Linked DNA regions of Tribolium castaneum. The protein of the gene in region 4 interacts with the protein of the main gene of each other region in a pairwise test. Links are inferred from orthologs where the notes say so. Each region holds a gene or a part of one and is shown on either strand. Other genes may lie near its edges.

Region 1 (7,920 bases), on a different chromosome or scaffold from region 4:
GCAATACCAAAAAATATCTGACGATAGTTCTCGTGTTAGTGTTACATTTTTGAAGGAATAGTTTCAAGCTTAAAGCTTAATTTCAAAGTCCACTAGCAATGTCAAGTGCTTTAGTATACAGGAGATTCAAAAGTATTGGACAATCTCTACGAGATAACTAAATTAAAAGTTCCTACGGCAAGAAATTGTTTGGACCCTTTTTTCACGAGATATACAGGCTGATTCAAAAGTACCGTACAAGCTGTCAAACACACATCAAACTGAATTATATGACAAAATTTTTTTTAAGCTTTTTTGCGAGATATGGCGGAAACAACAGCTCTTGCATCATTAAAGAAACACAATTAATGTCTAATGAAAAACATTTAAAAAACTTGCAAATTTGACATCATAGGAAACAAAAGAGCAACAATCAATACCGTTGCCAAGGAAAACATATTAGAAATTAGGTATGTCCAACACTTTGAATCACACTGTATTAATAGTGACATCTTAAGGCAAAATTCATTGGCGGTAGAAATTTAAATTTTGTTGGCAGCTGAGTTTATAATTTGTAGTAAATGAATTAGTTGTATGAATAAAAATATAGCAAAAGCTTTTATTAGTTTTATCTTTTTCTGTCTGATAAAATATATATTACTTTATCTTTTACTATTTCAAGTAAAAGTATTTATTTCCTTAGCTTTATTTAAACGCTCTATTGTTTAAACAATTTGATAACTACTTTTTTTTTTTCAAAGATCAGATTAACGATCGGATATAACTTGTACCATGCGATCATTTGAATTTATATTTATAATTATAGTAGGCGTTTATTTATGATTGAAAAACTTGTCCAAATTGAGGGGAAAATTCATACTAAAATCAATACTAATTGTGATAATCAGTGTTTTTACGTAAGTTAAAAAAAGTATCAAAGCCTATTCTAATTATAAATTTAAATGATCACATTTTACCTGTGTTTATAAAGATTTTAAAGATCTGAATACACTATTATATAAATTAGACTTGTCACTTTTTAAAGCCATATTGGTTTCGACATTAAAAGTGCAGATTTTTAGTCCATTTCCGCTGATTTTAATTCTTTTTCGTCTGCAATGCATTAGTAGCAAAGAACTTTGTTGTTTTTGTTCTTGTTCTCTTCATTTTTTCGGCTTATAACCTTGAATTTGAAGGATTCCAACATTGTATTCTGTTATCTAGTCCAATTTATTTATGAATCAGCGCTGTCGAATGATAACATACCCAATATTTTAATACTACAAAAACAATACGTTTTTCGTTGAAATACCTCCACTTTTGACAATTTCTTACTTATAATCGAACTATGGGTGTTTTTGGCTGTTTATTTTTGCCAAAAACGACGATTTTCACACTTATTTCGTTAAAATTCATTGGTATTTCATTTTTATCACTTTCTTTACAAATCAAATAAATCTTCTGGAAATAATTCGGAACATTTTATTGTCAGGGAACGGCATTTCTCCCACTTGTTACATAAAAATGAGTCAAAAATCGCAATAACCACACGAGTCTTCATTTCCAGTGGTAACTTTATAATTGGGGATTTCAGTATTGTGCTGTGAAATAGTTTATCCCCTAGAAGATGACTTAACTGTGTTACCGTCCAGATATAACTATTCGATCTCTTCGGGCTCTATTTCCTTGTTCTCAAGGAAATTTAGCAAATATTTCCAGTTCATAGACGCCTTTCTAACTTCTAAAGAATCTGAACTGTAAAAAAGGCGTCCCCAAAAAATAACAGTCTATAACCACTCTACAATCTCGCTTAGTTTTAGAGACTATAACGTAAATTGTTGTTGAGTTACAATTTCTAGATTAGCTAACTAACCAATCTGACGTAAAACAGTCCTTTTTGAACGCATATTGCATTTTATCTCTTGGACTCATTGTTTGAGAGGTCGTTGATTAGTTTGGGTCAAATAGTAGTGTTAGTCACAGCAATCTCCGACCTTGTTTTTTCCCACTTTGAATAATGCATTAAGCGCGTAATTTTCCATGTAGGGATCATCGATTGCCTGGTCCGTATCCCCAAAGAACAGGGATTCTTCAGTTTCTGGCGTGGAAATCTCGCCAACGTGATCCGTTATTTCCCAACCCAGGCATTGAACTTCGCCTTCAAGGATGTCTACAAACAGATGTTCTTGGGCGGTGTTGACAAAAACACCCAATTTTGGAGGTATTTCGCCGGTAATTTGGCGTCAGGTGGTGCCGCTGGTGCGACATCACTTTGCTTCGTCTACCCTCTAGATTACGCTCGTACTCGGTAGGTTTTTAAATTGTTAAGTTCCTCAGCTATATGTAATCATTTTTGATAGTTTGGGCGCCGATGTCGGCAAAGGCAAGGGCGAAAGGCAGTACACCGGCCTTCTGGACTGCATTAAGAAGACAGTGAAATCGGACGGACCGATCGGTTTGTACCGAGGTTTCGTTGTCTCAGTGCAAGGTATCATCATCTACCGTGCCTCCTACTTCGGCTTCTTCGATACTGCCAAGGGAATGTTGCCCGATCCCAAGAACACACCGTTCCTCATCTCATTCCTTATTGCACAGGTAATTATATTGGACTCCAACCGGTGAACTGATTGATGGGCAAAGGACACACACCTAACCTTTGATTTGTTGTTATTTCCAGTTGCTGAAGCTGAAAAAGTGAAAGCAATTGATCCGAAGACCTATATCCTGAAATAGTAAGGTATCCCTCGTTACGAAATAGTGTCGTAACATTCCTCTCTTATCTGCTTCCAATTGTGGACGTGCGACGAGATAACTCTTATCACAATTGACCTTTGTGTAATAGAGTTCAGAACTATATTGTAACAGTTTTTTTGCACCATAAACAATTGCGATAAGATTAGATCGTCTGTTCCTATAAGAATTGAATGAATTTGTCCTTGAAGTTATTACACATGATGTGTTACACAAAACTGAGCCTACTTTGATGACTCTAGTTTACCACTACCCATTAACTGATGTCATTGATTGACTATCAGTTGTTAGTGATTTGTTTGATGTGTGTATTGATGACGTTTTTCTTGCCAGTGCGTAACGACAGTTTCTGGAATTACGTCATATCCATTCGACACCGTCAGAAGGCGTATGATGATGCAGTCTGGACGCGCTAAAGCTGATATTATGTACAAGAATACGTTGGATTGCTGGATCAAGATCGGCAAAACCGAAGGCCCAACTGCCTTCTTCAAAGGAGCGTTCTCTAACGTTCTCCGTGGCACTGGCGGAGCTTTGGTTCTTGTACTATACGACGAGCTTAAAGCTTTGCTCTAAACAGAAATAGTAGAATTATTACGGTTTAAATTATTAATTGTCTCATAATTTATTTGTTTCATTCCGTGGTTGATGCATTTTTTAGGCCGACATTCCTTTTTTTAACACTATCAGGCGCAGGAATTTACATTCCAGCAATTTTTTTTCGTTACACGGTTTTAATAATGGCATTGTAAGCTGAAGTATTGATAGCCCTGTATTTTAAATCCTGTATATTTTAACAGCCGTTTACCAATAAACAGTTGTGATAAGTTACTTTATTATTGTTTTTTTTCGTTATTGTTGGTAGTGTGAGACGTAATAAAGTTGTTAATATAGTTGAGGTCACGTGGTTTTATTCAGTTGTCGAATGCATTTCGTTGACCGCAAAACAATGTAAAAAAGTTGTCTTGTAAATGAGCTTGATTTGTGTAAATTCGGCAATAAAGACACTCGTAATCACTCAAGTTTTTCTCACGCAGACCCATTTTTTTAGGCAAATTTAAAATGAATAGCGTCCGTTAGCATTTTACAAAATTTAAAATTATCTAGGGACTTTTATTGTTGCTCTAACAAAGCGAGTAACAGTTAATACCAACCAAAATATTTCAAAGGGGTGGCTTTTATAAATTGGCTAAATCGGCCTTATTCATTTGCCTGCTAAATCCTTCTTTCTGGATTTAGTTTAAGAATCCCTTCAATAAAAAGTTTTATCAATTTCAAGTGCCAGAAGGCACAAATGTAGGGACATCTGACGTTTTTGGTTTAGTACCAACGTAGCTGTCATTTACCTGTCAAACAAAAGGATTGGCCCCAATTTTGCAAAAATGGCCCAAATCGGCGAACCATTGACCCTCCACCGAGGTAATCACATTTTTACTTAATTTTACGCAATTTTCCAACGTTTGTCATAGACATTAAGCGTTCCGTTGAGCTTTTGGAGAAGCTCCAGAAAAGTGGCGAAGTCCCGGCTACTAAACTCGCGGCCCTTCAGAAAGTCCTCCAGAGCGACTTTCTGAATGCAGTGCGCGAGGTCTACGAGCACGTTTACGAAACTGTTGATATTCAAGGGTCTCAAGACGTGCGAGCCTCTGCCACTGCTAAGGCCACAGTTGCAGCTTTCGCAGCCAGTGAGGGACATGCACACCCCAGAGTCGTGGAACTGCCAAAGACTGAGGAGGGTTTAGGGTTTAATGTGATGGGGGGAAAGGAGCAGAATTCCCCCATTTATATTTCTAGGATTATTCCGGGGGGTGTGGCGGATCGGCACGGGGGGCTGAAGCGAGGGGATCAGTTATTGAGTGTCAATGGAGTGGTGAGTGAGGTTTGATAAAGGGGTAAATATTAATAATTGTGGGGTAGTCTGTTGAAGGAGAAAACCATGAAAAGGCAGTGGAGTTGTTAAAACAGGCCCATGGCTCTGTCAAATTAGTGGTGAGGTACACCCCCAAAGTCTTGGAGGAGATGGAGTTAAGGTTCGACAAACAGAGGGCGAGAAGACGGCAGCAGTACAATTAAAAATAACTAGACAGAGTAGCCTATGACAAAGAAATTAAGTTGGCCACACTGAATTATTAGTAGTTTGAATTTGATAGTCAAAGTTAGAAACCCAAATTTCAAAGTCATAGGCTACTTTGACCAGACATTTAACCGAAATATGGTATTACATATTATTATTATTAGATTGTGTTGCATTTAAGGAATGATTGTATAGTTAGCACGATGTGCACTGGTCTCTAGAAGTACTGAATCTCAAGTACCCGTGTATTGACAAGTAATCCAAGTATTACATGTTTCCATTTTTTTTGTTATTTATGTTGTATTAAATAAATAATTACAAAAAACAAAATGGTTTCTTTGTTTTTTAATAAAATTTATTAAGTAACTCCCAACGTTGTATTTTACCGAATTATTTTTTAAATAAGGTTGATAAAAAATTTAAAAAAATTATTAAGGATTAACTTTCTCATTGAAACTATAAATTACATTAGACATCAATTTTTTGAAGTGCATAAACAATGCGCCGGTGGCGTTTTTATAGTTTTGAAACAGCTAATACGTGAGATAAACGTTGAGTATCAACAATTAATTGAAATAAAAGGTTTTGAGCCTTTTAAGTCGAACCTTACAAAGCCCACAACTACGGATCAGGGATTTTCGTTGAAAGTGAATGTGGTATTGAGACTTCTGTTACTTACACTTAAAATATTAAACACAACACTGGTTAGTTGTGGTGATTCGAATAAAAAAAATTGTATTCACAATTCGCGGCTTTCCTTTAGGGATTTTTGTGTGCGACTAGATTGGCAACGCTGGAAAAACACTGAGTAGCCGCCAAAAGTCATGGGTGGCTTCGTTTTTGTCTATTTTTTTAATTTGTCTGATTTCGTGTTTTCCTAGACTTGTGACTGTGTTAAACTAAAAGTTCAAAGTTCTAAGACCAATTATGTGAACAATTAGTGCCCAAAAGTGCAAAGACACTCAATAACGACCCGATTCCACCGCTTCCTGTTGCCTATTCCTGCTTTGCGTCCTTTTCTCCAATACAAGGTCAGTTTTTCCTTTTGTAAAATCCTTGAAATCAAGCTTTTTTAAACGAATTCACCACCAATGTGAATTTGACAATTAAATTTGAGCCCTTGAATGTGTAATAATGCTTGTAACCCTTTTCCTCGAAACATGTCATAAATGACTAAATGAGGCTCTTTATTAATCCTTTGGTCCCTATTTTGCAGAACCAGTAACAACTTGTTGATTTTTGTGGTAAAAAAGTTTTCACCCTTAACTTGCATATGCAACCATATAAACAAGCGTGCATAAATGTCACCAAGTTTAAAAAATAAAAATAAGGCCCAAACAATTTAAATTAATATAATTTTAATATTTCGCCTATTAACGATGGACACAGTTGCGTTTTATGAGAAAAAATGCATCTCAACAAAGGTTTAAACTTAAAATCGTGAGATAACCAAAGTTGCACCCCACGAAATTTTTGCATGGTCCCAAGGCTCAAAAGGGGGGCTTCAAAATAAAAAGAAGAAAAAAGACAGCCCCGGGCAACGGCTTCGGTTACAGAGGCATTTTTAGTTTTCCAAAAAAAAACTCCTAGGCTAGAACAAAACGATTTGTTCAAGCGAAATTTGATTTTTACGAGTTTTTGGATAAATTATCAGGCAGTTTAATTTTTTATTCTCACCAGCAGCAATTTTAAACGCTTTTATCTCGAAAACCATTTACTGGGGAGAATTTTAACTTATCAGCAAAATTATTTTTTGAAATTCGTTCCAAGAACATTTTATGCACTTTCAGTTTCACCGAGATTTTAGTCGATTTTTACTTTGAGCAGAACCTATTTATTTTTGAAAAATCAAGTAAAATAAGTGTAATATCACGTCGTCTATTTAATTTTTTCAAGTTTTGGTTAAAGTTTTAAGTAGAATTTCTAACTCACGTAAGTATTTTCTCCTGTGGTTCAGTATCAAGTATCCATCACGTATTTTATATTTTAATCGAACACACTTTATTCTACGACTGCTTGAGTTCGACTAAACACCCTTTACGTTTGATTTGAAAACACCAACTGAAATGTATTTTCTTGGAAATCGAGAATAGTCCGAAAAAATCGGCGAATTAAAACATCTCATGACACGTGCACGGGCGGCGTATAAAGGGACAGATTCCCGGTATTCCAGAGAGTACCAGGAATCGAATAATTATTTAAACTGGGGAATGAAACTCGGGTTGGTTAATACTTAACATAATTTATTATATTAAAATATATTTAATTTATACAACTCTGAAATAGAATATTTACAACAACCATGTAAAACGCTTAAGGTACAAGACCTACGGTAAGATTTGATTTTAACCTGCCTAATACGAACATTGCATTTCATGTCCCATTAGCCTCACAACAAAATACCTTACATTAATACAAACTTATCGACGAAACTTTCCTCCGATAAGCGACACAGTCTTAAATTTCCTCAACATTTTCGTGTTTTCCCAATTTATAATCAGCGGAAATTTTAAACACATTTTGCCTCGCTATTAGTAAATGTTAGTTTTTGCAAAAATCGTGCAGGAAATGTGTGTGCGTCTCTGTGTATGTATTAGTGTAACTACATGCAAATACACCTCCTTACAAAACTAAGATGGGAGCGCAAATGTACAATCTTAACCTACATTAGGAACAATTCTATCATTTATATTTACATACAACTGGGGAAAATTCGTTGGTCGATAGAACCGTTCTAGGCAATATTTCTGTGAAAAATCATTTTCAGTATACTATACTATGAGGTAATTTAAAATAGGTAAGTGTCGGATGTGTCGAAATAAATATTGATTTATGATTGATGAATTTTATGATTAAATGGACCGGTGATTATAAATTGGCTAGTTTTCTTCCACTTTTTATGTTGTTGTAACTGGTCCTTTCGGTTTGATCATCATCATGGCCTTCTTCAGCGTGTAGTCCCAGCCTCTCCACCGGAACCAGACTATACCTGCAATTTTTTTTAGTCAAAAGCAATAAAATAAAAATGGTTTTCTCGCAGTTTCGAAGTTTGCCAGTATTTTTTGAAACACCCTGTATTTCCAGAAAGGGGTCGTTTACTGGTATTAATAGTTGTA
Region 2 (7,431 bases), on a different chromosome or scaffold from region 4:
ATCGAATAGACGACGGTGTCCACCGGCGACTCCTTCAACGTTTTGCACACCCAATGTGCGTACCCCAAAGCCCCCTGTTTGTGGACCCTTAACTGGGTGCTGTGCCTAAACAAATCCATAGCGTCTTCGTGTGCCAAAGTCTCGGCTAAAAGTGCCTGTCCTATCCAACTGTTAACGTAGTTAGGGTCCGATCTTTGAGCTTGCGAAAACGCCTGATTTGCCAGCTTAAAATCACCGAGGAGAAAATACAAAGTGCCTAAATTCGTCCACGAGACGGCACTGTGACTATCAGCGATAACGGCTTTAATGAAACAATGTTGCGCGAATTTATAATTTGGAGGGTTTAGATGCATCGCTACATTGCCTAATAAATTCCAGTGTGGCCAATACGTCGGATTATTAGCCGTGCAATGTTGCAAAATAGTTTGAGCTTTAGTAATTAACTCGCTTGAACCGCTACTAAGCCCGTGCGATAAATAACAAACGGCCAAATCGTGCCAAATCAAAAAATTATCCTCAACTAGACCCAAACTTTTGAAAAAACAGCGCGCAGCCAACGCGAATAAATCACTTTTCTCTAGAACCGTATCACCCACAACGTCCCTCCCTTCAACGAACTTTTTCGCAATCAAAAGACACGAATGTTTTTCAGGTAAATTGGCCACGAACAAACACCCGTTCCCTAACAATTTCCACAAACACGAGAGGTCGCCACGTTGGCTCAGAGCCCGAATCAAGTGATCGGTGGCCACCTGAGCATGGTCCCGACTCGTCCCCAGTCTCTGATCCTTGTAACAATGCCTCGCTTGAAGCAGACAAGTCTCAGCCATGCCTTTCAAAGCCGGGACGTAAAACTTGTTAAATTTTAAAATTTCCTCAAACTCGAGCCGCGCTTCGGCAAATTCGCCCAAAATCTGCTTAATGTGCCCTTTTTGTAACATCGGATACCACGCTTCCGACACCAAACTCGACGTTTTCTCGTAACATTTCAAAGCGGAAGTGTAGGCACCTTTGGCCAAGTAGGCGTCAGCCAGGGATTCCCAGCAGTGACTAAAATTGAATTTTTCGAGTTTGTTAACACAAGTGTGGAAAAATACGCATTGTTTTCGTCAATTCGTATGACGAATCGCAAGTTCGTAACGGCTTTATCGTAATCTAATTGTTCCAAGTGGTGTAGCCCTAGCTGCATCCAAGCCCAGGAATTTTTAGCGTTAATTATTCCACTTGTGAGGGCTTGTAACAAGTTCAAGTTGGCGTCCTTAAAAAAATGAAATCTATGTAAGTAAGAATGTTTAATAGGGCGTTGCTACGGTAACGATTACTCCAATTGTTCAAATTTATGTTGTTACCTAGCAGCTAAGTGTCAAAGATAACGCTTTAGCTCTAGCGTCGTCTCATTTGTTACATACCCAATTTTTTAACTTGCGGTAGATTTTGCTTAGTTCGATCCCGGCCTCCGCACATCGCTTATTAATTTTGAAAGCTTTCTCGTAACATCGTCTAGCTTTATCAAAGTCGTTGTTTCTCTTGTAGAAATGGCCCAAAAACAGGAAACACTTGTAGTTATTTGGGTCCAATTTGGTGGCCTGAAAATTACGATTATGTCCCGTTTATTAAACGTTGGGTGAAACCTTCAAAAATGGGATCAGACTTTTGTCAAAGTGGCCACAATCCCAATAAAGCGAACCGATTTCGAGCCACCATTCACAAGACTCGCAATTTTCCCTTTCTAGAATTTCCAGAGCTTCGGAAAATTTTTCCTGCTTGTGGAGCAACTGGGCTTTGAGCAAAATGTGTGTTTTATCAGTAGAATTGAATTCTTGGAGTAACGATTTAGCTTCGGTGAATTTTTTTAGATTGATGTTTGCACGAATCAAGTGTTGATTGCACGCAGATTTCACCTCAGTTTCAATCTAGAAATTGCAATTGAAAAAAAGTAGTACTAATAATAGACAAACATTTTCAAATAATTGTAACGCTTTGCGAAGGTCGGCCTCCTCCTCCGACCGGGACAAAACCTCAACCATCAAAACATTAACACTTTTCTTCAAAATCTTCTTATTTTGTAACAGTTTCTCGAGTTTGTTTGCCGCATTTATGGCTTCGTCGTACAACAGGAGTTGCATACAACATTTTAGCAAAAGTACCCACGCGTGTACCAACCCGGGTAAAACCCCCACAACTTGCTCTAAAACATCTTTCGCTTCGATAATTTTTTTCTGTTCAACTAGTAAAATGCTTTGGGTGAATAGACCCGTAGCTGAAGGTGCCTCCAATTTAGAGAGACTTTCGCTGTAATTGGCCATGTTTTCGACCGATTCGATCAAAGTGCCGGACTCGACGTAAACCTCATTGAAAATCTTACAAATCCAACGCAAAGAAATCCAGTCTGATTCAAACATTTCGTGCATTTTTTTCGCCTGTTGTAATAATTCACCCGCTTTGTCTTGCTTATACAACAGGTTTAAATAATCGCTGAAATATTTCGTACATACGGTTTTTTGGTTGTTTAAGGCGAGTTTTAACGTTTCTTCGTACTAAAAAATTGGTTTAATTTGCAAAATTACGATTTAAAATCATACAATTGGGACCAAATCCGGTGCGAGATTTTCAATTTTTGATAAAATATTAATCAAACAAACTGCACATTCCGCACTGTCACACTTGCCCTCTTTCAGGACTGAAAAAATCGCTGTTACGATTTTAGCCAAGTCGCCGAATTCGCACAAATTTGCCAGTTTTTGGACACATTCGAGGATTTTTTTCTCGCCTCTGAAAAGGCTAATTATCTCATGCCAAATAATTTAAAATCAATTACGTTTCAATGCCAATTAGCGAAATGTAAGCATTAATTAAATCAAGTTTAGTTTCTTTAGTGTCGATTTTTTCGTAATAATTTATAAGACCGTTCCAAGCCAAGGGATTTGAAGGGTTTGCTTCGATTGCCTCCTGGAAAGCTTTCAAAGCTTTGGCGTTTTGACCGGTTTCCTGTAATGAGACTCCCAGGAAGACAAGGGCCATGTAATTGTTCTTTTCTTCTTTCAGTATTTGCTGCAAAAATACAATCGCACACACTAACAAACATAATTAAAGATAACGCTTATGCAACTAATTGCTACAAAGGTGCAGTCCAAAGAAAAAAAAGAAAAAAACAATGAATCAAACAATGATTGGATTCATCAGAAAATAGTGAACACATAAAAGTATTTTAAATTGCCAATGCTTTTATTAATTTTATTAAGTTAATTTCTACAAAAAAAAAACGGATAACTCCGACTATTTAGCAACAAAATTTCGAAATGATCGCAAATGATTATTTCAATTGGTAACAGATTTCAAAGTTTTTTTAGAAATTTGTAACCGGATAATTTTTAATTTTTAGTGTAAATTATGACAGTTTTACCAACCCCTACACCTTATAAATAATAAAAATTTCACCTACCTTGCATAGTTTCAAGGCAGTTTCATAATTCTTGTTTTTGATGGCATCTCGTGCCTCCTTCAACACTAATTTTGAGTCTTTCATGATTCACTCAAAACAATAACTTGTTTGGAAAAGCCTAACCTACAAATGCACTTTTTGCCACTTATTAGCTAGACTCGAAAATAACCAAAAGCGTACAAAACGAATCATTTGCACTTAGTATTTAATTAAAAAAAATATTTGTTTAATTAAATTACGAAAATAGCGAGCTTGTTTGAAACTTTTTCGAGGTTAGAGCATAGAATAAGAGAGAGGGTTAGAGTGTCAAGCAAAAACTGAAACTCCCTAAAAAGTAACCAACAATTTCGGTATTTTTGCGGAAATGGCTGCTCCTAGAGGAGAGACAGTCCCCAAGCCCATCCAACAAGACTGGGTAAACCGCGAATACATCGAAGTGATAACCGTCAGCATAAAAAAGATCACCGATTTCCTCAATTCTTTCGGTAAGTTTCCCCTTACTGTTGACACCTCGCAAAAATTATTTTTAGACTTATCTTGTCGATCAAAACTCGCCGTTTTAAACGAAAAGTTGACAACTCTCGAGCGAAAGATCGACTATTTGGAAGCTTGTGTAAGTCTCATTTACATAACACTGCGCTTTATTTACAAATAAACTGAAGGTCACCAAAGGGGAAACCTTGACATAAGATGCTCCTCACTCGCCTCAGCCACCTCCAAAGGCCGCTCATCCCCCACACGCGCACCCTCTTCCACTGGCTGAACATCGTCTTCAACCGCGTGGACGACGAACGACGGAAACAAGTGGGGCCTGACAGGTCTTGTGCCGAGTGGCTGTTGCGGAACGGGGCCCACGTCAAGTGGGAGCACTGCAACGAGTTTCTCACAGACTATAACAAACTGCCGAGCGACAGGATTAGGTTACACATCGTGGAAGTGAACGCGTCTGAAGCCAGCATAATGCACTACGGGTTTGACCATTTCGTGGGGTGCGAACACATCCGGAAAATCATTTTCCACAAGTGCTACTATCTGGAGAATGAGGCGTTGAAAGGGCTGTCGGTTTTAAAAAACTCATTACTTTATTTACAAATCACCGAGTGTTTGAATATAACAGAGCCGGGGCTGAGTCACCTCAACGCGTTGAATAACTTAAAAGAGCTGATTCTGGCCGATCTGCCGTACGTCAAAGAGAGGGAAAAAATCGTCGATAAATTACAGCACGGCCTGCCACATTGTACGATACAGTTCCATTAAATAATCAACCCTCGAGCTTTGCTTTCATTATCGTTGGCGAGGAGACAAGTCCGATCTGTTCCCCCGACTCCAACTGTTTCAATAGCCTGAACAAAGCGGCAGCTTCGCGAATGCGACTAAACTCGATACAAAACGCCTGAACTTCGATAAACAACTCCTGGACGTTGATTATTTTGTTGCGAATGAGCGACTGGAGAAACACACAAACCAGTCGAACCAGCCGATTTTGCATATAACGGTCCTTGATAGTCTCACAAGTCGATATGCAATTCGAAATGTACAAGTGGACAAACTCTGTGGGCAAATCCACGGTCGTTGTGAGCCGATTTACCACTTCCATGGAATGCAGCGACATTTCCATGTTGACAAGAACGCTGAAATATTCCGTTATTTGTTTCGATTGCATAAGCTTGAGCAAAACTTCAATCGCGATAAGTGGATTATTTTCCACCAGTTCGGGCAACTGCAAGCACTCAAATCAGCGAAAATCACCAAATTTCGATTCATACTTTGGACGGAGTCAAACCAATGTGGTACACAAGTTTTGAGTCGTTTTCCAGCTCGCCTAGCAGTTGTTGCTGCTGTTGCAAAGACAGCGCTGATTTGTACGCCTTGTTCATCAATTGTCTCGCCTCCTGGCCTGCTGTGTCAGGCACACACATCGTCACGTCATATGCTACAGTGTGTTCTTTGATGTTTGTCGGATTTAGCCACACCATCTTAAAAAACACAATCAAGGGTAGTAATAAATTATCACAGCTTCCTTGATTAATGGAAATTTCCCTTCGTCTCCATAGCATTAAACAAAGAAGCTGTATTATGTAACCTTACTTCATCATCTGTGTTGAGCAAAGGCGGTGCTAGTGTCACAAATTCCGGTTTGTACACTTTATTAATGGGGGCGTTATCACCGGTTGCTATAGTTTTCACAAGGGCTGCATAATCGTTCCGTTCTGTCGTATAATTGTTAGTTTTTTCAGGCAGTGATAAAACTACAGGAATTCCTGTTTTGCAAGTGTGTGGCAATTCAGACTGTTTTTCGGCTAGTAGTAATTGTACAACGGAAAAATCGAAATTTGTTTGCGTATTCCCAACGTCTGAATTGATTATTTGCGTGGCTGTTTTTTTCAAAATCTTGAAGAAAAAAAATCGTTTAGTAATTTCCTATCAGGGGAGGCCCTGGATAATCTTACAGCATCTTTGGGCACATCTGATAACAGTTGCGTTAAGAATTGTTTTTCTGGTGGTGTCAGTTTGGGTAGTTGGCCTGGATATTCCTGTTTGGGGGACCCGACACTACTCTGGTGTTCCGGGGGGTGCTAGGATAATTTCTATGTTACAATTACTAAATTTCTGTGATTACAAACCAAAAGGTGGTTGAAAACGTTGGCAAAAGGGGTGTTTGCCAGAGCTTCGCCCCGATATAACTCATACAGAAGCGTTATAGCAACAAGTTTTTGCTCAGGCTCTTTCAACAGATCTTGCTGAAGCATCATTACCAGACAAGTTCCGACTGAAAAAAACAGTTATTTGGGTAATCAAATAGCGGTTTTTACCTTTAAAATAGTCACAAGAGTCGAATTTTTTGTGCAACTCGTTCGAAAGGCTTTCTAAAGTGTGGGTTCTCACCTTTGTCTCACCCAAAATACTACAAAAACTGAATTAAAAGGGCGCCAAAATTGAACTGGTCTTACTCGAGTAAGATATCACATTGTTCCACCGTGAGGGCCATCGTTTTGCAATAAAACACCTATTTTTACGAAATTTATTTTATATACTCTAACCTATAAACCCAATTCGGACATTGACATTTATCACCATAAGACCGAAAAATCTAGTCGGCCAAACACACCTAAACCCGTGTTTTTCGTCAAAAATAAAAAAATAAAAAGCAGGAAAAAAGTTTTTAATGCAATATTCAATAAACTAATCAACTGAAATAATCAATAAGTTGATTAATTAGAATAATCAATGAATGGGAGTTGGAGTTTTCGACCTTATGCGGACCCGACCGCCGCATTTTCGCCCATGTGTGGTGTTTGGCGTTTGGCTTGACAGTCGACCCAAAATATTTCAATTTTGCGCAAAAACCATGTTTGGGTGCGAATTTTGTGTAAAATAATCAATCCCTCGCGATGGCTTCGTCCCAAGACGCTTGGTACCTGTCCCTCCTGGGGCTAGCCGAGCATTTCCGCACCTCGAGCCCCCCTATGATCAAGCTCTGCATCCAGTGCCTCCAGGCTGTGTTTAATTTTAAACCACCGCCGCGGGTCGAAGCTCGCACTCATTTACAACTCGGAAACATACTTTTGACCCATACCAAGAACACGGACTTGGCGAAAAACCACTTGGAACAAGCGGTAAGTGCGCCCCTTGATTTAACACTCATTTGGACGTGATTGAATTCAGTGGTTGTTGTCACAAATGATCAACACCTTTGACGATGTTAAATTCGAAGCGGCGAGCGTTTTGGCCGAATTGTACGAACAACAGCAGCAAATTTCGCTGTCTAAGCCCATTTTGAGGAAAGCGATCGAGTTGTCGCAACATAATGTTTACTGGCATTGCAGGCTAATTTTCCAGCTTGCGGTAATTAATTATACAATTTGGCAGAACTATTTTAATTGTAAAATTATAGCAAATTCACGCAACTGAGAAAGACTACCAGTTGGCCAGTAGTCTGCTGGGTGTTGGGGTGGATTATGCCCACATCTCGAATGCTTGTTACACTC
Region 3 (9,030 bases), on a different chromosome or scaffold from region 4:
ACTGGAAATGCAACACATTTTCCTGACTCAAAGGCAAACAACCCTAATTTGATCCAGAACCTGGTATTATTAGGGAACAACGGGAGACAAGGGCAGATTACAAATAAAAAATTGGCTCAAGTTTGATTTTGCCGAAAATAAAAATGCGCAAGAATTTTTCGGAATACTTCTGATTTTGAACCAATCAAAATTGGACGAATTTTTGCAATCTTTAAAGGTGTTTCTCCCCGTTTCGGTTCGGAGGAACACTCCCGGAATGAGGAAATTCCGCGAGTCGGTTGTTTATTTAATTTAAATGGATACGGAGGGGAGGTTGCGTTTTATAAGAATTTCCTGAAACACGAGCGTTGAGATTTTCCGGTATTTAAAACCGAGAAAACCTGTTTTTCGCGAAGTGAAACGTAGATGGAATGCGATTTTCCACAACCGTCTAAAATGTATTGGGACCAGTATAATTAAGCCAAAGAATGCGGTTTTATGCTCTCTTTATTCGTCACCTATGTGTGTTACAGCCATCACGTAAGTATACATTTTACTGACAACAAAACAGAAAAATTCTAATCAGAATGATTAAAAAAAATTTGCCGCTTCAGTTAAACAAACATAACATTGAAATATCAAAACAACACACTGAAAAAACTATTAAATAAGCATCCAATCAATGGCTGATATGATTTTCATAAAAAATGAGGTAACATCGTTTGTATTTTTTTTTTCAATATATTATTATTACATAGGTACCTCCTACCTGTTTCTTTTCAAATCACAGAGAAAATAACAATATTTGATCATGAATTTAAAAAATTGTAACAAAGATTTACAGAGCAATTTTACTGAACTTGGGATTCTATTGTGTGGGGTGGTTTTTAAGGCAATAATACAACCGAAAGGTGTAAAAAAATTAATTTTATTGTGACTAAATTAGTTGCAAAACACTTGTTAAAGTCAAACTCACAAAAAATTAATCATTTAATTATTACATCACAGGTCGCTGTTATCTTATATTTTTAAGCTTATTCAAAAACAATCAGCAATTAATATTTAACAAATTTTGTAATTGCATTAATTGTAGGGTAGGTAACTAGTAATACTTCGGTTTCTTCTGCTTCTTCCCCTTTCTTCAATTTCCTCTGATGTTTGAATTTTCCAAATGATAGCTCTTAAGAGAGCCCAAAGGTATTTCGAAAAAAGGTTGGGGCTAGTTTTTGGTCAGAAAAAAATATGCAAAATTTTTTTTTCTGTGTTATGTTAGGTTAGTTTTGTGACAGTTTCCAGCGCTTCTCCAATCTACAGGTAGGTTCTTGTACGCATGTGCAAAGTCATTTAGCTTACCTGACAGGTAAGATACGAGTAGCCCACCTGTAAATATAAAACATTTTAATTTCGTTGTGATTAGTGTGAAATGTGCTAATCAATTATTTTTAGTAATGAGTGATAGTGTTGCGACTTGTTGATTCGTATTTACGGTGAGTATGTGGCGGGTAAAGGGCTGATTTAAAAGTCCGTGAGGTAAAAATTTAATAATACTGTTATTGTTACTGTATTCATGCTATTGTGATATGGTCGCCACGATGGCTTTTGCGCCAAACTATTCACACACATATGTGTATTTCACAAGCTTCGTTAATAAATCGAATTTGCCTCATTTAACCCATTATTACTCTCTGCGTCATCACAAGTTGATGAAATCAAGTTTCGGGTTATTACAACTGTTGCGAATTAAAATATTCCCGCGCACTCCACGCCCTTCGTGTCCAAATTTAGTTCGCAACAGCTAGCCCATTAATATTCACAATAAATACATGCAGTTTTGTCCGTAAAAGTACGTCCTGAGGAATTGTTGACATTCCTTGCATTCCAGTATGGCTGAAGGTGTGGCATAAGAGAGGAAATTAATCTCAGTCGAGAATTATTATTAGGGCCCGAATTCCTTCAAAATGACAAATATTTATAAAAACCGCACGATACAATGAGATTAAATCCCGCAGTAGATAAATGTTATCATCAATCAAGCCGTGACAATAATCTCCGCGTTTCCAGATATTGAGTGGCTTAAGTTAAGTTAATATGGCGTACCGCTCGAACGGGTATTCGGGGGATGAAATGGACAGGTACCGGGATGAAGGGGGCGACAAGCCCACCTATCTCATGGAGCACCTGGCCACCTTCACAGTCACCAAAGAAACGGGGATCATGTACCCCGCCGACGGCATGCGGAGGCTGCTCCAGTTGGAAAAAACCAACGGCATTTGGTCGCAAAAAATGCAACTGTGCCTCGACCGCTCCTGGGTCTTAATCATGGATTACGAAACTGGGGTAAATAATCATCTCACGTAAACTCCAACTCTACACAAAAACGTTTAGAGTGTCATGGAGCGCTTCCCGGCCAACTCCATCCAAGAACCGACTGCTTTCACCAGCCATGATCCCATGGAAATGTACAACAATATTCTAGTTTTTAACGTTGCCAATTCTAACCCGGCTCATCCACCAGAAATGCACATTTTTCAGGTGAGCATATCTATCTGGCTCATCTTATCGGGCCCCCCGGCCAACACACTCATTTATTTTCGTCATTTATCTTATCAATCTATGGATTTTTAACAATTATTACTGTTTCCAAAAAACACAAGATAATCAATCAGATGTTACGGCAGCGAAATTAATTTGCGTGGTCGCGATAATCTCTAAATCAGATGAGATTATGGGGCGAATAAAATGAACGAACAAGGAGCATTTGATCGGACATACGGGATAATTGTAATGATTGTAAATACATAACGAGTTTTTTGTATAAGACTTACTTGCGAAATTATTAAATATAGAAAATTCAGTCAGTCAGCAGTACCAATAAAACGCTGGTAGTACAAAACTCTCTACTTTTTTTTAAATTAATGTTTTTTATGAAGGAAATGAAGGCAAGTTTATTGTCTTCGTGTCCCAAACTCGCATAATAATACACAATTTTGATAAGGTATTTCGTCGCACTCCAGCTCGTGGTGCTCTAAAAAATGATGTATTTATTTGTTTTTACGTGGATGTCTAGTGCCAGAGCATATCCGCGCTCGACCTGGTGGAAGACTTGAAGCAGTTGCGAATGGGCAAAACCCTGACTCGAAGCCGCAAAAGCAGCATCCCGCCGCCGTCCCACAAGCCGCCCCCGCACAACGTTATCAACCCGAGCCGCGACCCGCGAGGCGATTACCACGGTTCCGATTCGGAACTGACCGCAAATAACGACGACTCGAGTTCGACAACTAGCGAAAAATACGAACGAGACGTGACCATTTTGAACCATTGCTTCGACGATATCGAAAAGTTTATCGCCCGCTTGCAGCATGCCGCCGCCGCCGCCCGGGAGTTGGAGCGTCGGCGGAGGAGCCGCAAAAGCAAGAAACGCGACATGGGGGACGGCATGTTGACCATGCGGACGAAACCGCCCCCGGAGAAGGAGTTCATCGACATTTTCCAAAAGTTCAAGTTGTCGTTCAATCTCTTGGCCAAGCTCAAGGCGCACATTCACGATCCCAATGCTCCAGAGCTGGTGCATTTCTTGTTCACGCCTTTGGCGTTGATTGTCGAAGCCTCGCATGATACCTATCCCGATTCACAACTTCCCAGAAAAGTTGTCTCCCCGCTGCTGACCAGGGAGGCGGTCAATTTATTGATGAACTGTGTCACCAGCAAGGAGACCGAGCTGTGGCACTCGCTAGGAAACGCCTGGCTTATACCCAGGTAAGGCTATTTTTGACGAAATTGACAAACAATTGGTCAAAATTTCGCGATAAAAATAACTCGCCTATCTATTGTTGAAAGAAGCCGAAATTATTTACAAAGATATTGCCAGAATATCTATTTGAAAAAAAATTTGGACGAAAACTTATTTTAGATATGAATATTTCAATTTTTCAGTAAGAAAGAAACTAGAATGTTTAGCCGAAACCGGCAGAGAATCTTTGGTTGAGATGTCAATTCTTTTGGAACCAACATTTTTCAAGTTATCTTGTTGAAACCTAGCAAAATAACTTATTCTATTCAGCCAGTTACGGCCTAATTTGTACGTTAAAAACAGTTTAAAAAACCGTAAAATTCAAGGCTGGCAACAAGATTTGAATTTCCCGAGCTGCTGTTGCCAGTCAGCTAAATTCGCTAAGAAAATCTCACGCCCCTGAGTAAATTGGGAAAGAGAATCCGTCCGGTGTTAGATTTCCCTTTGTCTTGCAGAGATCAATGGAAGGGTCACGTGGCGCCTTACCACCCGATTTTTATGGACGGTTGGTCCCCTGATTACCCGGTTGTGGACGAATTAGAGGCAAATAATGATAAGCATTACAATGAGGGGCAGTACAGTAGCGACTGTAATGATTACGATACAAACCATCGCGACATTTTTATTTATGAGAAAAGTACAGATTCCCACCACCCAAAAATCGACTCGGATCATTTGCCCCCGAATTTGGGCGAAAGCACCAGAAGCGACATTTCGGTCGATTCGATCGAACGAAACGGCGGCGAAGAGCGCGGTTTTGGGAGAAGTCAGGAGAGTTTCTTGGAGGATTTGCAAGCCAGAGGGGCTAACATTGTCCAAGTCACGTACCCCCGAACCGCCAACAACGACAAGGAATTGACCGTGGTCCGTGGAGAGTACTTGGAGGTACCCTCACTCCTTATCCGCCCTTCTTATGTTTATTTTTTTATTGTATTGTACAGATTTTGGACGATAGTCGCAAGTGGTGGAAAGCTAGGAACAGTCGGGGCCAAATCGCGCACGTGCCCCACACTATTGTAACGCCGTTCCATTCCGGCGGAAATGATATTTTTAACAATCCGTTATACACCACGCGTAATAATTACAACAGGAATCGGGCGGTAAGTTCTAGTTTGATTTTTGTGTTTTTTGGTAATGATCTGGTTAGGACTCGCCGTCTGATAGATTTAGCGGGGGCCACAGCCCTAATACCCCCGACCATGTCAACCCCCCCGTTCCAGCGACTTCCGCTGATTGGGTTAGGAAAGAGAGGCTCGGTAAGAAAGGAGAATTTCGTTATTTCTAAGCAGTGTCGTCGCCGCATCTTCGTCTGCTTCTTGTATAATATTTGTTGTTTTTTGTACATTGTTATTGTTAGGCGTTGGCTTCTATTTTCATTCAAAGTACAGGCTATAACCTCATTTAACTTATTATTAAAATCTATGTATTGTATTACTTTAATGTTTGAAGGGTAGCAAAATCCGTCCAAAATGTAAGTAAGAGTGTATATATTTTTGTATTTTTGATACGGTCATTTGTACTAACTCAGTACCTATCTTATTGCATTTATGAAAAATAAATAAATTTTCTACTACACTGTCCGTGTTTGCTTTTGTGTTGTGTGGACGTTGTGTTGTGTGAAAAATACATGACCGGTTTGTGCGATTATCGTCTAGTTTGAATTTTATCCAAGGTCAGAACGGCAATTTTTGATTACGCCGCTATGAATAATTAACAAAGACCACAAAATTGCAAAAAGTGATAATAACCGCGTAATTATCCAAAACCGGATACTCCGAGTTAGTGTGACTCATCTACGATCTTCACTCCGATTGTTACGTAATAAATTTAAGGGTACATCAAAGTATTAATCAAGCCGGTCGTTGCGTTATGTTTGGCGAAAATGATTAAAACCTATAAAATTATTACGTGACAATCGATGGAATTGATGTTCGGGTTTAGGGGCTGAGCAGTTTCCTCCGAAAGTTTGTAATAGGCTTTAAGCCGAATGCAAACACGCCGAGTGATAATAATTACACCATGGGAAAATTCTTGGTGCAAGACGTCTGAATAATAAATAGAGACAAACCGACCGACTACGCACTATCATCGATCTGTTTGAGGAAATTTCTTAATTGACTTTGCGGAATTATCAATTTGATAATTATGTTTACTTGTCCTGCTGCAACAGCGAGTTGAATAATTTACGGGTGTCAATCCTCGCCTCGTTCCATTTCGCTCCCGCTCTTACTTTATTGATCGATAGGTGTAATAAATCCGCTGTGGTCTTCCCGTTTTTACCTTGAGATCTATTTGGCACAAATCTAATCTAATCTTAAACATGCGTCAATTCGGAAGATTTCTCCCAAGGCTATCGCATAGCTCGCAAAAATAAAACTCGTCCTTTAGACACTAGCAATGCACCGCCGCCTCCGCCGCCCCCGCCCCCCGTTGTGTCAGCCCCCGTGACACCGGCCGCCACGTTAAGACGCTCACCGTCGACGAAGTCGGCCGCCACACAAGACGTATTGCAGGATGAGCTAAATATCGTGCTATCAATGGTCAGAGACAGGAAGCACAAAACGCACATCGAAATTAGACAAACACCGGAAGTCTACATTAATCAAAAATCCAATCCGGAGGAAGTGCAAAACTGGCTCAAAATCAAAGACTTCGATTCGCAAATTTGCGCCAAATTTAAGGGACTCGCCGGACACAACTTGTTCGACTTGCACAAGAGCCAACTGGAGAAAGTTTGCGGGGCTAAAGAAGGCGCCCGCTTGTACTCGCAATTAAACATCCAAAAAAGTGTCAGTGGGGTACGTTGACACGTTAGCAACCAGGCAAAAGTGTTTCCTTGAATTTTTCAGTACCAAACCGTGAGGAGCTCGGAACTGAAGGCAATCCTCGCTAAGGCCAGGGAAAAAATTGAAGCAGTTGATTAATATTTATTACACACAATTATCACTATCAGCGCTACCTATCAAAGGTTTTAACGAGCTTAGTGGAAAAAATTCACTTGATTATGTCATGTAAATATGAATAAAATACGGTAATAAATATCCCAAAGTGTTTGGTGTTGTTTCATTGAATTCGTTAAAAAATATCGACCAAACTTCGGGTGCCTACTAGCTGCGAGTTTGATTTACGATAACGTGCACACAGTTAGTCACTTATTGCTTGGAATAATCAAATTAATTATTTGCTCGAAATTTATCATAACGATGACTCGGTGGAGATTTTTCGAAACAGAGTTATTGACATCAGCATGACGTCACAAATAAAAATAACAATGACCTTTATAATGCAAAATGTTAACGCTTTGCTTATGTTTTATTCATGGTGACTGTACGATGCGTTTGTGAATAAAAACTAGATACAATTAAACTAATCCAGAAAAAATAAGAAACTTATTGATATTACTGGTTATTTTGAAGTGCAAGATAAAAACCGCAATATTGGTAAAATGATAAGAAACGTAATTTAAATGTAAATACAAATGAGAAGACAAACACCGAGATGGTAATTTTGAGTTATTTTCAGAAGTTGGAATTGTTTTGTTTGAAATTAAATAAGCACGTCATATGGGCTTAAGTTTATGACAGTTTGTCATAAAGTGATGCCATAGCCATACGTAAAATGAATATAGCTGTTATTACGTACGTGTAAGGAATTTCTGAAAGCGAATTATTTAATAAGCGGACCATTAAGATAGCTACTTAACAATCGTAAGTATGGTACAATAAAGCGATGGTGGATATACTATTGAGTATGTGTTTGCTTAGTGTTTAGATAAAATATATACGATATAATAAATGAATGAAATGAAGACAGTTTGTGATTTGTGAGTCGAGAGGAGTGAGCGGTGTTGCGACTGGTGTTTCTTTAGTAAGTAATGCTTTAAACGAAATGGGTAAGTTCAGGTCGCCGTGGATATGCAATCGATAATATAGCTTCTGCCACCGGCACCGCCGCCACCGCTGCCGCCGCCGCCGTGCCCTGCTAGCAGTGGATTTTTGGCAAAAGACGCGGCTCACATTTGCAGTTCTCGCTCAATTTTACGGTATCACCTACTGCGGAAAGCTTTGGGTTAGGTTGGGGATGGCTCCAGAAGTGAGCTTCGGAGGATGAGTGTAGGGTGACCGCGGCGTCGCGGTGGAGTTAAGTAGAGTAGTTTTGTGAAAAGTTGTAATCAAATCGGATGGATCTGCTGAGCGCAGCTGATAGAGGGCGTCGGCATGGCATCGTAGTGCGCGTGTTGTTTACTAGGGCGCCATCGCAGTTCCCATCGTGGCTCTGTCCACCTACCACAAGCATTGAACAGAGAGAGGCAGCGCCCCTAACGGCGAGTCGAGCGAGACCATTACGTTCGGGACTGTTAATGTCCACCGGCCAGAGCGGCTCGGAGTGGTGCGAGCGAGTTGAGTTTGAGTGTGTGTAGTGCCTGACTGCCTGGGTGCGTTTCTGGCGCCCAGATCCTGCTATCTATTATCGGGCGACAAATGTTAACTTGACCGTCACTACGGAACATCTAGACGGAGTGGACTGTGACAAGGGCTCGGGGCGACCGCTACCGCAGCCGGGACATATTGGACCAAGGCAGAAAGTAAGTCCTTCCGTCCTGTGGATATAGGTCACACGGCTCGGCTGACGGAGGACGGTGCTCCTGGTGGAGGTGGTGGTGGAGGTGGTGACAGTGGCGGTGGGATGGGCCGAAGAGCGTGTGCAACTCTTCGTCTTATCGCTCGCTACTTGAACTAGACTCATGTAGGGCTAGTGACGTCACAGGCAATTGCCCACCCGACACCAGTGTAAACTAGTAAAGGTGCCGACACTGCCCGACCTTTATCCTCTCCTAGGTCTAGGCTCTTGTCTTGCCTTTTTGTTGATTATTTGCCGACACCACCGCATACCTTATATTGTGAGTTGAGCGAAATCGATCGCCAGCGCCGACTGAGTGGCGGTAGTAGTATGAAGCGGTCTGTTGCATGACGTCATTTATCCATGAGATTCCTGACTAGCATGCATTATAAATAACCTCAATACCTCCTTTAATATCGAAAAGCTGAGAGCCAGCAAAGCCGCACACCGCCGGAGCGACCCGCTCGTATCTATATCCAGGTGTCATCACCAACTCATCATCTTCGCCACCGGTCGGTTACTTTCTCCAGATCCGCTCTATAAACTCACAAATTTCAAATAGGCCGGAATCGCGCATTTTCGGCCGCAGGTATCCATAAAATCTAAGTTTAGCTGCGCAGAGCTTCCTGCTCGTTCAATTA
Region 4 (8,427 bases):
TTTTTTTGAAAAAGCCATTTGTAAAATTACAAATTTTTAGATTATTAGTAAAGATGATCATCACTGGTGGCAAGCCCGCAAGGACAACTCTGCGGGCTCTGCGGGCTTGATCCCTTCACCCGAATTACAAGAATGGAGGGCCGCTTGCGCCGCCATGGAAAAAACGAAACAAGAACAAGGTGAGTGAAAACCCAACCGACACCACACCGCTTCTTTTCGTTGAGTTTTTTTCCAGCAGTTCATAAAACTTCATGGCTGGTGCCCCCTTTACTGTTGCATGGTTGTGTTTAATTCGGTTTTCTAACGAATGTCGGTGCAGTTCGTATTCGATTTGTGCAAATTTACTTCACTCGGAAAACAATTTGAACGAGTGAAGATTGCGATTGCTTTGTAGAGAGATTTCAATGGAATACTTAAATGTTCAGTAATGAAGTAACTTTGTTGTACACGGATCGAGGCGATATTGAACGTACCGACTTAGAATAAGCATACATTATTAAACATGAAGCATGGAACCCTTAGAAGTGCAGTTGTGAACAGACTTGGGACAAATTATCTGAATTTTTGGAAAAAGCGGAGCCGGAATTTAGCAAGTTATTAATTTTCTAGTACGAGTTGCAAAAGTTCGAATGTTGTTTTTCCCTTTATAGGTCTGTGTAAAATCATGGGTTAAAATTAAATGAAAAATATTGATCTTTGATTTCGTGTATCAAACCGACTAATTAAATAGTTATTCAATTAGTCAATAAAATAAAAAAACCTTTTAACTTGATAAAAGTAATATTTTGTAAAAACAAAAAAATTCGTTAAGTTTTACTTTTTACAATGAAAAGCGCTTTCACTAACCTTGGTTTTAGAGAACATATTTTGAGATAGGTATAATCGTAAAGAAAAAATTCTGGTCTTAAGAATTCATCAGTTTATCATTTTTTAACAGTAACTAGCCCATTAAATAAATTTCGATTCTTGAAAAAGGAAAAAAAATTACTGAAAGACGGTTGAAACAATTAAATTTTCAGAATATGACTTCTGTAAATTTTTTGGCACTGCGACATATTTTGTGAAATAAAGAAAAAAATCTTGGTTTAGCATTTTTTACAGTTTAAAGCTCAGAAAAGTTTCAGTTTAAAAAAAAATTGTTAAGGCCTTAATGATTAATTAATTATTTCCGCTAATATGATTCTCAATTTATAGAAAAATATAAATTAAAAAAGTTAAAATTTTATTGTTGAAATATTTTGGGGGAAAAAATATTTTTTTAGTATTTTTCTGTTCACCACTTTTTATTTAGTAGAAAACTCGTTAAATAAAACTTCAGATTTTCAGAAAATTAATAATTGCTCTTACAGGAAGACATTTGAAAAAATTAAGTTTTATTTGTAAAGATATAAAAAAAATTCTTTAAAAGTCTTCAAGAATAAGTATTTTTCTGTGTTAACAATTTTTTACAGTAGGACACCTATTAAATAAGTTTTAATTCTGCGAAATAAAAAAGTTTTCTGCATGAAAAATTAGGTTTTACTTGTAGAGGTATTAAAATAAATAAATAGATTTTAGTTAGGGAGATATTTTGGAAAAAATCTTTAAAGTTCTAATGATCATTTTTCGGGTTTTACCATTTTCTCACTTTTGAAAGCTCATTGAATAAGTTTCGATTTAAAAAATCCGTACCGGGTGAGACCTTTGAAAAAATTAAGTTTTATTTGTGGAAATTTTTAATAGAAGAAAAAAATTTTTAGGGCTGTAAGGAATTTTTTCATTCCCTCTTGTTTTACTAAGGAAAACTTTAATTATCACAAACAAACAATCTCTGCACTTGAAAAAAGATCCACTTGTGGAAATATATTTATAAAAGAAAAAAGTCTTTGAGATTCCAAAAAATATTTTGTGGCGTCATTTTTAGTCCATTGGAAAACTCAATAAATTAAATATGTTTGTGCAGGAAGACTGATAGTAGTTGAGAAAAGAAAAAAAAATTTTAAGGCCATAGGGAGGAGTATTTTGGTTCACCATTTTGCTGTTTCTTTAAAGCTCTTTAAATAAGCTTCGATTTTTGTAAAAATAAAAATAAATTATTTTACGCCAAGACAATTATGAAACATTTAAATTCCACGTGCTGAAATATTTTAAATATTTAGGGCAGAAAAAAATTTCTTTAGGCTTCAAAGTTGAGTATCTATTTACGATTTTTTTTACAATTGAAAATCTATTAGATCAGCTTTATTTTTTTGAAAAAATAATTTCTCTATGGAAATACACTCAAAAAAAATTTGTTTTATGTGTTGAGAGATTTTGAAAAAAAATTTCTTATGGCTTTAAGAAGTGTTTCTTAGTTTACCATTTTATTAAAATGAGTGGTCTATTGACTAAGTTTTAAAGTCTTGTAAAAATTAAAAAATCTGCTGTGGAAGGAATTTTTTGAAAAAACTAAGTTTCAGTTTGAAAAAAATAGTTAAGGCTTTAATGATTAATTAAGTTCTGTTTGTGAAGATATTAAAAAAAAATTCTTTAAGGCTATAGTATTTTGGTTTACCATCTTGGTATTTTTTTGAAGCTCCTTAAATAAGCTTCGATTTTTGTAAAAATATAAATAAATTATTTTACGCGAAGACTGTTATGAAACATTTAAGTTCCACGTGTAGAAAAATTTTAAGAGCAAAAAAAATTTTTTTAGCCTTCAAAGTTGAGTATTTATTTACGATTTTTTTTACAATTGGAAGTCTATTAGATCTGCTTTATTTTTTTGATAAAATAATTTCTCTATGAAAATACACTCAAAAAAATAAGTTTCACGTGTAGAGATATTTTGAAGAAAAATTCAAAAAGTCACTTGTGGAAATATTTTTAAAAAAGAAAAAAATCTTTAAGACTTCAAAGAATATTATGTGGTGTCATTTTTAGTCTAGTGGAAAACTCAATAAATTAAATATGTGGTTGAGAAAAGAAAAAAAATTTTCAAGGCCATAGGGAGGAATATTTTGGTTCACCATTTTTTGTTATACTAAAATGCCCATTTTCCTCAATTTTGAGTTTGCAAAATACTGCTTTTAACTTTCGGCCGTTTTTTATCTTGCGAAACTCAGGTCTGTTCACTTCCGCCGATAACTTCCTTCACACTAAACAGACAAAAACAATAAAACCAATGATAAACCCGTATTTTGGTGTGACCTGTATTTTTGTTGAATGCTAGACGTGGAAAAAGGATGTACTTCTCATGCTAACGGTTGTGATGGTACTACAGGTATATGATGCCCACATTAAGTAGCCTAAAGCATGATACTTAAGCATTTCATAATAAGTGTTTTCCCTAGTAGACTGATTGTTTGTGATCTGCTGGGAAAATCAATAAATAACTTTCAAAGTATAAATAGAAGAAATGCATGGTATAGAGAGACCCCTAGGGTATAGTTTTGGCTGTGGTGTGCTCGTACTAACTTGTGGTTTTTCCAGTCAATTGCTCAATATTCGGTCGCAAGAAGAAACAGTACAAGGATAAATATTTGGCAAAGCACAATGCTGTTTTTGACCAATTAGATTTAGTAACTTATGAGGAAGTTGTGAAATTGCCAAGTAAGTGCTTTTTGAAATGTGAGACTTTGGCTAATCTCTGTTTGAAGTGACTGATCCAGCTTTCCAGCGAAAGACCTTAGTCCTCCTGGGGGCTCACGGGGTCGGTAGACGGCATATTAAAAATACTCTAATAGCTAAACATCCCGATCAGTATGCTTATCCTATACCACGTAAGCCTCCCATCTGCTCATTTTTCATTTAGCTCAAGTGGGATTATTTCAGATACAACGAGGCAACCTAGAGCCGACGAGGAAAACGGCCGCAATTATTTCTTCGTGTCGCACGACGAAATGATGGCCGATATAGCCGCTAATGAGTATTTAGAATATGGTAGTTGGGTTGTTTACATCAAAGTTCGTTTTGTTGTCATTTTGCACGTTGTAGGCACGCACGAAGATGCCATGTACGGAACTAAGTTAGATACAATCCGTAAAATACATCAAGAAGGTAAAATGGCCATTCTTGATGTTGAACCTCAAGCACTCAAAGTGTTGCGTACTGCTGAGTTCTCACCATATGTTGTGTTCATTGCTGCTCCGGCTTTGCAAAACATTGCAGATGTAAGCGTCACTGTGGTGTTTTTAGGACACTCTTAACTAGATTAGAAACAAGGATTTTGAAGGAACAATACCAGAATAAATTACTAACAATGCGACTAACGTTCGCTTTGTGCATTTAAACGAATCTAGAACCCCAACGAGTCCGATTTTAAATTGTTTCGTTTTTTAAGGACTCCAGAAATTCAAGTTTTTTAACTCTATCTAAGAGAATTTTATGCACTTTTCCGATTTTTGACGAGATTTTTCATCGGGCAATAACTCCGAAGCTTCGGAAAGTTTTTCTGATTTTCTGTCTTTTTCAAATTTTCAGCAAAAGTGAAAATAGGTAAAATAAAAAATATATAATTAAAAATCTATTGAGCAATTTTGCAATTTGCTCGACGCCAGTCGACTCGCCGGACCATTTTACATAGTTTTACATCAAAATTGTTTCTTTTTTCCGGCTAGTTTTGCAATAATTGCGAAAATAAAAAAATTAAAAATTAATAAAAAAAATACAAAAATGAGTATCAAACTTGATTGTAACCCATTTTTTTTGTTTGATAGTTTTTGGTGTGCTCTTTACGGTGGGATGTGGCGTTTTCTCCTAGTTCTTTTAGTTTTGCCGTAATCGGCGCTTGAAAAATGGTAATTTTTGTTTCTGTTATTGGCGTTTTTTTTGGAAGCAGTAAGATTTTGAGCAAAAACCATGAAAGCATCAGAATGCGTTTAAAATTATCTTAAAATCGCTCCGGGCCGAAGACTGATAGTTTTCGAGTAAAGTGCCCATATTAGCAAAAATAAGTGATAAAAAAATTATAATTAAAAAACTGTTACAAATTTTGCAATTTTCTCACCGCCAATCGATTCTCCGGATCATTTTACATGGGTTTACTGCAAAACTGTTTACATTTTTCGAGCGGTTTTGTCGTAATTAAAAAAAAATGGAAATTTTTTGAATTTTAGTTTTTTAATAGAAAGATTATAACTTGAGAAATAAAAGTATTTGAGTAAACCCGTTTCTTTTAGCGAATTTTTGGAAGCTGTAAGACTTTGAGTAAAAACCATGAAAGCATCAAAATGCGCCTAAAATTATCTTAAAATCGCTCCGGACAGAAGACTGATAGTTTTCGAGTAAAGTGCCCGTATTACCAAAAATAATTGATAAAAAAATCATAATTAAAAAACTGTTACGAATTTTGCAATTTTCTCAACGCCAGTCGATTCTCCGGATCATTTTACATAGGTTTACTGCAAAACTGTTTTCTTTTTTCCAGTGGTTTTGCCGTAATTAAAAAAAAAATTGGAAATTTTTTGAATTTTAGTTTTTTAATAGATAGATTATAACTTGAGAAATAAAAGTATTAGAGTAAACCAGTTTCTTTTAGCGAATTTTTGGAAGCTGTAAGACTTTGAGTAAAAACCATGAAAGCATCAGAATGCGCCTAAAATTATCTCAAAATCGCTCCAGACAGAAGACTGATAGTTTTCGAGTAAAGTGCCCGTATTAGCAAAAATAAGTGATAAAAACATCATAAACAAAAAACTGTTACGAATTTTGCAATTTTCTCAACGCCAGTCGATTCTCCGGATCATTTTACATAGGTTTACTGCAAAACTGTTTTCTTTTTTCCAGTGGTTTTGCCGTAATTAAAAAAAAAATTGGAAATTTTTTGAATTTTAGTTTTTTAATAGATAGATTATAACTTGAGAAATAAAAGTATTAGAGTAAACCAGTTTCTTTTAGCGAATTTTTGGAAGCTGTAAGACTTTGAGTAAAAACCATGAAAGCATCAGAATGCGCCTAAAATTATCTTAAAATCGCTCCGGACAGAAGACTGATAGTTTTCGAGTAAAGTGCCCGTATTAGCAAAAATAAGTGATAAAAAATCATAATTAAAAAACTGTTACGAATTTTGCAATTTTCTCAACGCCAGTCGATTGTCCGGATCATTTTACATAGGTTTACTGCAAAACTGTTTTCTTTTTTCCAGCGATTTTGCCGTAATTGAAAAAAAAATTGGAAATTTTTTGAATTTTAGTTTTTTAATAGAAAGATTATAACTTGAGAAATAAAAGTATTAGAGTAAACCAGTTTCTTTTAGCGAATTTTTGGAAGCTGTAAGACTTTGAGTAAAAACCATGAAAGCATCAGAATGCGCCTAAAATTATCTTAAAATCGCTCCGGACAGAAGACTGATAGTTTTCGAGTAAAGTGCCCGTATTAGCAAAAATAAGTGATAAAAAAATCATAATTAAAAAACTGTTACGAATTTTGCAATTTTCTCAACGCCAGTCGATTCTCCGGATCATTTTACATGGGCTTACTGCAAAACTGTTTACTTTTTTCGAGCGGTTTTGTCGTAATTGAAAAAAAAAATGGAAATTTTTTAAATTTTAGTTTTTTAATAGAAAGATTATAACTTGAGAAATAAAAGTATTAGAGTAAACCAGTTTCTTTTAGCGAATTTTTGGAAGCTGTAAGACTTTGAGTAAAAACCATGAAAGCATCAGAATGCGCCTAAAATTATCTCAAAATCGCTCCAGACAGAAGACTGATAGTTTTCGAGTAAAGTGCCCGTATTAGCAAAGATAAGTGATAAAAAAATCATAATTAAAAAACTGTTACGAATTTTGCAATTTTCTCAACGCCAGTCGATTCTCCGGATCATTTTACATGGGTTTACTGCAAAACTGTTTTATTTTTTCGAACGGTTTTGCCGTAATTGAAAAATAAAAATTTTGAAATTTTTTGAATTTTAGTTTTTTAATAGAAAGATTATAACTTGAGAACTAAAAGTATTAGAGTAAAACTGTTTTTTTCAACGAATTTTACGGTTCATTTCATGTGTTATACGAGTTTTTTTATTTCAGTTATTGGAATTTTTGGTTAAAATTTAATAATGGTTTGTTACGGTTTTCACCAATTATAAAAGTGCGTATTTAATCAATAACACAAAACATTATAACTGCAACGACGAGCGACATTCCTCAACAAAATTCCGAAAATTGTTATCAAACATATTGGTGATTTTATTACAGTATGCGTTCGTGGCACATATTATTGTGGAAGTAGTTGGTTTAATGAAAATCTAACTTCAAAATGGAAAATAGTGTTCATTTTACTTACCTTCTAAGCTCAAAAGAGTCAGTGTTTCTCAAAGTTTATTTAACCACTTTTCTACGCCTTTGGAATTCTCTTGAGTTCTTAAAGTGCAAGAAAACATCAATGGGTTTCATTTTATAAGGTTTGATTTTTCAATAACTCCAAAACTATCATACGTAACTCCATTAATTATATTCTCACTAAAAAGGTTTTTTAATTATTTATCTTTAAAAAACTATTAGTCCCGACTAATAGTTTTCGAGAAAATTGCTAACAAACTCTAAACCAGGTTAAACTTAGGTATTAGCTGTTTCAAAACTATAAAACGCCAACGGTCCATTTTACAGAATAATTTTATTTTTCTTTATATTTTTTTTTAATTGTAATTAAACACTTGATCTCTCATTGGAAGTATAAATTACATTAGCTATTATTTTTTTGAAGCGGCTAAAGAATTTAGAACAGCTAATTTTGAGAGAAAATGCGACGTTGGCATTTTTCTAGTTTTAAAACAGCTAATAAGTGTTGATAACTTGAAAGCTATTATCAATTTTGTAAATTTTTTGAGCACCAATATAAGAAATAAACAATGTTTAGTTTTAGTTTCCACGCCAAGAAAATCCAACAAGAAGTACACCAATATAAGTTCAATCAAATCAATTTTATTTTTGGAATATCTTTGTCGTAATCATGGCCTTCTTGATGTATGAAGAACGAAGTTGTCTCTATACATCAAGGAGGCCATGGTCGTAAATGATAAAATAAGAAATTAAACATTTTTTATTTTGATTTTTTCGATTTCTCGAATTTTTCAGTTTTTTGCCAATAACACTAGAATTATTAACCATTACCCTCTTGGCTTTGTAATCACTGGAAAGTCTTTTTTTCGACTTCCTGTTTTTTAGCCCTTGGCGAAATTTTAAATTTTAAGTTTTTATATAAAAAAAAACATTTTCACATGTAGTTTTGTCCCCAATTTACTTAATTATAAGTGTTTAACGGATTATTTTACTCCGGTATATTTCCTTCGAAATCCGCCTCAAATTTGTGTTCCGTTGCACAAACGAGTAAATATTATTGATATGTGAACACATAGCGTAATGAAGCCATTTGATGCTATTTACTGTAGGTAATAATGTGGTGGATTCTTGTTACACCTGTCATGTTATTAGCCCATTAACAATAATGCAAAGGTCTTTCATGGCAGTCTAA

Evidence for each region.
Region 1: the proteins of CASK (region 4) and veli interact in a two-hybrid assay, tested with the Caenorhabditis elegans proteins (5 studies listed by BioGRID). The link is inferred for Tribolium castaneum from reciprocal best matches to the Caenorhabditis elegans genes lin-2 and lin-7.
Region 2: the proteins of CASK (region 4) and ATP synthase subunit s, mitochondrial interact in a two-hybrid assay, tested with the Caenorhabditis elegans proteins (3 studies listed by BioGRID). The link is inferred for Tribolium castaneum from reciprocal best matches to the Caenorhabditis elegans genes lin-2 and C05C8.1.
Region 3: the proteins of CASK (region 4) and epidermal growth factor receptor kinase substrate 8-like protein 2 interact in a two-hybrid assay, tested with the Caenorhabditis elegans proteins (4 studies listed by BioGRID). The link is inferred for Tribolium castaneum from reciprocal best matches to the Caenorhabditis elegans genes lin-2 and eps-8.

Annotation. Positions count from the first base shown.
Region 1 is NC_087394.1:2,337,758-2,345,677, reverse strand, and holds veli (protein lin-7 homolog C), read left to right. Parts: upstream 1-3,991; 5' UTR 3,992-4,112; coding exon 4,113-4,149; intron 4,150-4,199; coding exon 4,200-4,600; intron 4,601-4,647; coding exon 4,648-4,803; 3' UTR 4,804-5,134; downstream 5,135-7,920. Other genes in the region: ADP,ATP carrier protein 1, read left to right, coding at 2,026-2,287, 2,340-2,574, 3,064-3,306; angiopoietin-4, read right to left, coding at 7,702-7,793.
Region 2 is NC_087396.1:20,955,348-20,962,778, reverse strand, and holds ATP synthase subunit s, mitochondrial, read left to right. Parts: upstream 1-4,132; coding exon 4,133-4,699; 3' UTR 4,700-4,703; downstream 4,704-7,431. Other genes in the region: superkiller complex protein 3, read right to left, coding at 1-1,050, 1,098-1,258, 1,410-1,586, 1,632-1,913, 1,959-2,537, 2,583-2,772, 2,819-3,051, 3,443-3,526; HSPC300 (probable protein BRICK1-B), read left to right, coding at 3,807-3,927, 3,973-4,055, 4,105-4,131; Not11 (CCR4-NOT transcription complex subunit 11), read right to left, coding at 4,704-5,162, 5,209-5,418, 5,531-5,833, 5,893-6,018, 6,067-6,212, 6,256-6,347, 6,394-6,431; MAU2 chromatid cohesion factor homolog, read left to right, coding at 6,835-7,059, 7,109-7,288, 7,338-7,431.
Region 3 is NC_087403.1:4,530,051-4,539,080, forward strand, and holds epidermal growth factor receptor kinase substrate 8-like protein 2, read left to right. Parts: upstream 1-1,303; 5' UTR 1,304-1,466; intron 1,467-1,497; exon of another isoform or gene 1,498-1,987; intron 1,988-2,040; 5' UTR 2,041-2,067; coding exon 2,068-2,316; intron 2,317-2,364; coding exon 2,365-2,511; intron 2,512-2,804; exon of another isoform or gene 2,805-3,046; coding exon 3,047-3,735; intron 3,736-4,224; coding exon 4,225-4,654; intron 4,655-4,710; coding exon 4,711-4,869; intron 4,870-4,916; coding exon 4,917-5,025; intron 5,026-6,157; coding exon 6,158-6,567; intron 6,568-6,618; coding exon 6,619-6,693; 3' UTR 6,694-6,822; downstream 6,823-9,030.
Region 4 is NC_087400.1:7,072,443-7,080,869, reverse strand, and holds part of CASK (peripheral plasma membrane protein CASK), read left to right. Parts: intron 1-40; coding exon 41-179; intron 180-3,190; coding exon 3,191-3,241; intron 3,242-3,450; coding exon 3,451-3,570; intron 3,571-3,617; coding exon 3,618-3,740; intron 3,741-3,792; coding exon 3,793-3,900; intron 3,901-3,954; coding exon 3,955-4,130; intron 4,131-8,427. UniProt on the Caenorhabditis elegans protein: May play a structural role in the induction of the vulva. May be required for the localization of signal transduction molecules (such as let-23 receptor) to either the basal membrane domain or the cell junctions.